Linked DNA regions of Oryctolagus cuniculus. The protein of the gene in region 1 purifies or fractionates together with the protein of each later gene. This does not show direct contact. Links are inferred from orthologs where the notes say so. Each region holds a gene or a part of one and is shown on either strand. Other genes may lie near its edges.

Region 1 (2,823 bases):
GAGAGGTCAGGGTGGCCGCGCTGGGGCGTGGGCGTGGCCGCCGGGGGGTGGGGCTTCTCTGGCAGAACGACGGGGGGGGGGGGGGGGGGAGTTTGGGGTTTCTGGGATGCCGCCCCGGGCCGCACAGTCCCTGGCACGCTTGCCTTTCAGCTTCCCCTGTCGCTGCTGAAGACGGCGCAGAACCACCCCATGGTGAGTGTGCGGGGGCCCTCCCGCCCTCCCGTGCGCAGCCCTGCGCCCGCAGCAGCCGGGAGCTCCCTCCAGTCCCCCGCGTGGGTGGGGGGTGGGCGGCAGGGGGCGCAGGGACTTGGGCTGGGGTGCGCACGCGCGGGAGGTGGTCCACGGGCCTCGCGGGGTCGCAGGGCCAAGCCGGGCCCCCCGGGCGTCTACACCTGCGGCCCCGACTCCCGGCAGCTGGTGGAGCTGAAGAACGGGGAGACGTACAACGGGCACCTGGTCAGCTGCGACAACTGGATGAACATCAACCTGCGGGAGGTGATCTGCACGTCCAGGGTGAGGCCCGCGCCGCCCCGCCCCCCTGCTGCCCCGCCCCGTGGGCGTCACCCGGCCAGCAGGAGGAGGGCAGTGCCCCCACCGCCGGGACCTACCGGGTGATGTGGGAGGGGCGGGGCGGCTCCCCAGGACCCACTGAGGGCCTCCCCCCGGGCTGTGAGCCCCTGCAGACCCCGGGGTGGCCGCCAGGCCTGGGCTGCCCCGCCTCCCGGTGGGAGGTGCTGGGTCAGACCCCGGGGTGGGGTGGGGTGGGGTGGGAGGGACCCGGCGCCTCCCCAGGGTTGGCTCAGCCCCCGGGCCCTGCTTCCAGATCCCCGGCGCCCGCGGGGAGGAGTGACGTCCCGGCCTGTCCTTGGCCACTGTGGAGCCAGCGTGGCGCTGGAGCTGGGCCCCATGGGACCGCCCTACTTGTGTCTGGCTGGCCTTGGGGTCCCCACTGGGAGCCCGCCCTCAGCGGCCTCGGCCGGCGACGCCCACCCAGCCGCCCGGGGAGCAGCTGACCGGAGGGGGGGTTCTGGCCGGGAACAGCGCCTGCAGGCACCGTGCGGGGCTGGTGGCCAGGGCGGGGCCGGTCCCGAGCTGTGTGGACCTTGTCCCTGTGCAGGGGCCCGGGCGGGGGTGTGGCCGGGAAGTGCCAGGATTGCATCTGTGGGACAGGGGCACACAGGGCTGTGGGGTGGGGGCGGGGCGTGCTGGGGGTGCCCCTCTCGGCCCACGGCACCGGTCACTGCCCCGCTGGGCCGTGGCTCCGTCGGTGCCCTGCTCAGGCCCAGAGACAGCTCTAGAAGGGGGGCTGTGGGCAGGGGGAGTGGGGGGTGGGAGAGACCCAAGCAGCCTCACTGGGGGCGGGGCTTCCTGGCTGCCCAGGGGCCAGACAGGCCCTGCGCGGGGGGGGGGGGGGGGGGCGCCCGGGGGGGGGGCGCCCCCCAGCCTCGGCCCTGGCCGCAGCTCAGGGACCCTCCGCCGGGCCGGGCGTTGACGCGCTGCCTCCGGCCCAGGACGGGGACAAGTTCTGGCGGATGCCCGAGTGCTACATCCGCGGCAGCACCATCAAGTACCTGCGCATCCCGGACGAGATCATCGACATGGTCAAGGAGGAGGTGGTGGCCAAGGGCCGCGGGCGCGGGGGCCTGCAGCAGCAGAAACAGCAGAAGGGCCGCGGCCTGGGCGGCGCCGGGCGAGGTGCGGGCAGGGCTGGGCGGGGCGGGGGAGGTGCGGGCGGGGGGGGGGGAGCGGTGCTCCCCTAGGCCCTCAAGCCCTGGTCCTGGCCAGTGGCGGAGCCCCTGTCCTCCCTGGGCCCTTGTCCCGGCCCCCGCCGCACAGCTGGGGAAGCTGAGGCCAAGCCGCCTCTGTCCGTCCCTGCAGGTGTGTTTGGCGGCCGGGGCCGAGGCGGGATCCCAGGCACTGGCCGAGGCCAGCCAGAGAAGAAGCCGGGCCGGCAGGCGGGCAAGCAGTGAGCCGCGCCCCCCGAGACCGAAGCCCTGCCCCGCTGCGGGACCCTCTCCTTCCGGCCGGGCCGCCTCGCCCCCCCCCCCAGTGTGGACACCTGTGTGGTGGTGTTGGTTTTGTGAAGCCCCCGCCCCGAGGCCGGCCCGGCTCCGTGGATAGCTCCGTGGATAGCCCGGCCTGCACCTGCTGGCACGGCCCAGGGCCGGCCCCTCCCGCACGGCGACAGGCCCGCGGGGGCCGTAGTGTCGCCTTCCAGACGGAGTGGACGGGGCCGGCCCATGCGCCTTTGCTTCCATTTCTCTGTGTTCTGAAAATAAAGCCCAGTCCAGCCTCAAGGCCCCTCGGCTTGCGTCCGCCCTGCAGCCCTTGGGCCCCAGGAGACCACATCTGGGGGCCCCGACCCGGCCTGGGGGCTCCACAGGGGCTGGGGGGGTCTCCCGAGCTCCTGGCCCGGCTTGTCCTGCGGCCCCTCCCGTCTTGATAGAGAGTCGGGGAGGGGGCACCCTGGCTGGAGCCACTGTCCGGCCCGCTGCCCCCTCTCTGTTTTCCCACCAGGTGTCACCTTGGTGATCGCCCCCCAACCTCAGGGGGGGCAGGGGTTCCGGTCACGGCCGGGGGGGGGTGACGCAGGGGAGGCCTGGGTCCCCGCTTGGGCGTTCTCCGGTCACGGCCGGCCGAGGCCCGTCTGGAGGGGCGACAGCATTGGAGGGACGTAAGTGCAGCCCCCACGGCTTGGGGCTCCCGGCTCTGCGGCCCACAGCTCCGTGGTGGCGGCGTCTTAGGGGCCGGCGCCGTGGCTCAGCGGGTGAAGCTCCGCCTCGACCCCCCAGGACCGCTGGTTCCAGTCCCGGCTGCTCCCAG
Region 2 (3,746 bases), on another chromosome or scaffold:
TAACCCCTTTAGATGGTTTTCCCAATTTGTGATTTTGTACATGTATCCTGTATATATCCTTAAGCAAATATCTGCCTTGTGGGGCCAACAATGTGCTGTAGCTGGCTAAGCCTCTGTCTAAGGTGCTGGCATTCCATATGGGCACAGATTCTAGTCCCAGCCATTCCTCTTCCGACCCAGCTCTCTGCTATGGCCTGGGAAAGCAGTAGAAGAGGGCCCGAGTGCTTGAGAGACCTGGAAGAAGCTCCTGGCTCTTGGCTTTGGATCAGCCTAGCTGCGGCCATTTGGAGAGTGAACCAGCAGATGGAAGATATTTCTCTCTGTAACTCTACCTCCCTTAAAAAAAAAATCTGCCTTGTGTTTCAATTGTAAAGTTTCAAGAAATAATGAGATATTGTGAAACTGTCTGTTAGCAGGGGAGTGAGCAATAATTTCCATTCTGCCAAATTCCCGCTTCACTGACTGGCAGGCCCAAGAAGCTCCCGCACAGAGCCTGACTACCATGATATGCAGTGGGAAAAAGAGACCCTCGACCATACCATGGAGGAGTGGTGGCCAGTGTGGATGTGGTTGGTCAAAACTCTGGCCAGGTTTGTGTTATCTTCCTGATTAAGGGGCAGCAGGAAAGCCGGAAGACCCAGATACGCCCCAAAATTCAGCTCCTGTAACATGGCCTGGAATGGAGAACGGGAGGAAAATGTTAAGAGCTAACCTCCAAATAGCTTTCATTGCATTCTGTTAGTTGATTTTGTAACTGATGGAAGGGAAAAACGCTCTCCCACCCAGCTCGGGTACAGAGGTCATCTTTAGAACGCTCCAGGAGAGGTCAAACACTGTCTTACCGCCTCCGAGTTCCTGCGGATCTTCTCCACTCTCGAGTCTGGACGGATCCATGGAGAGAGCTTTCCCACAATTAGCGTATTCCAGTCTGCACTCCCCCACCCGGGAAAGACAAAAACTGAATGAGGTTCAGTACTGTACTGGTTCAATTTCTAGTTCTTGGTAGGGAACAGAAAATAGAGATGAGAGACAAAGGCATTTTCCACCACAGACATGGGATAGTCTGATGCAGAATAGGCAACTAAGGCTTTTAGCAAATAAGCAAGGAGAAAACGAGAATTCCCTAGATCCCAGGGGCTATCCAATATATCCAAGTCAGAAAAGGAGGAGAACGAGGGCTCTGATAAAGCAGAGGTTGTTACTGCTGCTAACAATTAAGGGGCATATGGGATGGTCCCTACCCCTTCCTGACAGCAGTAGGTCTGATCGTGTCTGGGGGCCCGGCCGATTCTTAGCAGGTTCCTGAGTGAACTCCCTCTTGAACCGCGGGTGGAAGACAGGCATGCAGAGGAAATCAAACCTACAACCGCGACAGACCCAGAATCATCATGTAAAGAGAGCCAAGCACTGCACTTAGGCTACCTCAACTGCGCACAGCCCTTTCAGATGCCACCAGTCACCGCGCTGGCTCCTGGTTGCAGCCCATCCTGGGACATACCACTTCCCTGCACCGTGCCTCAATTTCTCCCCCAAAACACAGGCAGGGAAAAGATGAGTAAGGGAAAACGACGGAAATCCACGCCAAGTAGCATTCTCTCTACTCTGGGGTCACTGGCTTTCCAGGACTGTGATGTTCAGAGCTGCCCCAGGGCTACCTACACCTACCCTCCCTGCACATGAACCTCCTCTCGCCTTTGCCCCCAACACTTCCCCCTACTCCCGCATACTCATTTTACCCCCGGAGCCCTAGGGGATTGGCTGTATGCCCCCTTTTTGTATCCCCGACAACTCCCCCGACTTCTGGACTAAGAGGCCACACGACTCCCCTAACTTTCCACCCGCCGGGCCGAAGCTGCTCCTCTCAGGAGTAATGGGGTTTCTCACGCCCTCGTCCCATCCGGCCCCTTCACCCCTGCCTCTCGGGGATGACTAGCCTGCCCTTTTCCGTCCTCGAGTTCGGACCCTGCATTCCGCCCGCGAAGGTCTGGCCCTCACCCCTGCTTGGCCACAGCCCCCAGTGTGTCAGCTATTTCGGGGACGCAATTGAGGTCCCTCCCGCTGGACACGCGGCTCCCACCGGCAGCCCCGACCGCCATCGCCGCCATCTTTCCCTCGCGCTCTCCACGCCGGGATTCCTTGATATTAGCAACCAATCACACGCTGAACCAGGCCCCGAGAAGGCGGGACGAGTCGCCTTAACAACCAGAGCGTCCTCCACAGCTCCGGAGCAAGAGACGGAGGGGTGGAGAGTGACTCTTCCCGCCAATCCGCGGGCTGCACCGTGACGTACGGCGTGGCTCCTGCAGATCTACCAATCTCAGGGTCTGGTTCGTGACGAACCCGAATCTCCCAGAATGCTTTGTGCAGCCGCCGAATGCCGCCGAGGGACTACACGTCCCATGAAACCCTGCATTGTAAGCTTGAAGAATCATTACAGAGCCCAGCGCGATTGTCTCAGGGCCAGTGGCGCAATGGATAACGCGTCTGACTACGGATCAGAAGATTCCAGGTTCGACTCCTGGCTGGCTCGTTGGGACTGGTACTCCTTTATTGCATCACCTTCCCCAGAAATTGTGGTTTCCGTTTTCCTTCCTTCACTGTTGAAAGCTTTACTTCTTTCCACCCTCTCACTTTTCAGGTCCCAAGTTACTTGGGTCCTACAGCCATCTTTACTTAACCTTTTCCGTCACCTCTTTCAAATGTGTTCCTTGTGTCATTGCTTAGACCCAACTAAACTGGGTTAATGGCTGGGGTTCTGTTTAAACAAGATTTGTCCCCTTACTATGTTAACCTTTTTAAATAGATTGTGATAACTGACAGTGTTTAATAGTGCTTGTGTCTCAAACACAAAAAGGTGTAAATCAACACCTAAGCGCACACTCACAGCCCCTCGAGGTAGAGAAAACCAATTCTTAGTGAGAGATTGCAGTGGACGGGAATCATGGAAATGCATTTTCCCTTTACAGGAGAGAGACGGGAAAAAAGAAAGGAATGAAGCAAGGAAAGACGGAGAGAGGGAAATGGAGACCCCTGAAGGCAGGGAGCCCACAGGTTCAGCACTGAGGGCTGGAGAGGTGATCGCAGCACGAGAACCCTACGCAGGGGGCGTTAACAGAATTTGGGGTCCGCTTGTTAGGCGGGTGATAGCCCAGGGTTCTGTCAGTCCTTGCGGTTCGTAGAGAATCGGGGTTTGGGTCTGGACGTGCTGAAGTGGATGTCTAGGGGGCGCTGTGTAACAGAGCTGGGTGAACCGTGGTCTGAACCGAATAGGATCTGGAGCCCGCCGGAAGAACGGTAGCTAACGAAGCCCTGAGAGTGATGAGCTGACCGTAGCCGGTGCGGATCAGAGGCCTGGGAAACCCGGAAAGGGAGCAGGAGGGGATGAGCCCCACGAGTCCTGGGTGCGACTTAAGTGCCCCCAACGGATGAGAGTCAGAAAAGCAAAGCGCCAAGAAAATGCACCATGAAGCCTGAAGGGGTTGGAGATGCTGTGTCTTCTATTATTATTGTTATTATTACCAGACTTTTTGTGTACTTCTGGATCCCATATTACATTTAATTGTCACATCTCTCTAGATTCCTCTTGGCTGTAGCAGTTTCTCAGCTGTTTCTTGTCTCTGATGATCTTGATAGTTTGATGGTATTGGCCAGATAGACTATACAATGCTCCTCTACTGGAATCTGATGTTATGGGTTTGGGGAGGTCATGGAGGCCGAATATCATTTCCTCATTTCATCAAGGGCAC

Evidence for each region.
Region 2: the proteins of LSM4 (region 1) and PRMT5 purify together in Homo sapiens (co-immunoprecipitation; 3 studies listed by BioGRID and IntAct, with this or other methods). This does not show direct contact. The link is inferred for Oryctolagus cuniculus from reciprocal best matches to the Homo sapiens genes LSM4 and PRMT5.

The regions. Positions count from the first base shown.
Region 1 is NC_091447.1:65,592,610-65,595,432, reverse strand, and holds the end of LSM4 (U6 snRNA-associated Sm-like protein LSm4), read left to right. Parts: intron 1-150; coding exon 151-192; intron 193-414; coding exon 415-513; intron 514-1,511; coding exon 1,512-1,695; intron 1,696-1,878; coding exon 1,879-1,970; 3' UTR 1,971-2,297; downstream 2,298-2,823. UniProt on the Homo sapiens protein: Plays a role in pre-mRNA splicing as component of the U4/U6-U5 tri-snRNP complex that is involved in spliceosome assembly, and as component of the precatalytic spliceosome (spliceosome B complex).
Region 2 is NC_091443.1:52,081,918-52,085,663, reverse strand, and holds the start of PRMT5 (protein arginine N-methyltransferase 5), read right to left. Parts: upstream 2,315-3,746; 5' UTR 2,106-2,314; coding exon 1,996-2,105; intron 1,970-1,995; coding exon of another isoform or gene 1,911-1,969; intron 1,361-1,910; coding exon 1,242-1,360; intron 929-1,241; coding exon 843-928; intron 675-842; coding exon 540-674; intron 1-539. UniProt on the Homo sapiens protein: Arginine methyltransferase that can both catalyze the formation of omega-N monomethylarginine (MMA) and symmetrical dimethylarginine (sDMA), with a preference for the formation of MMA.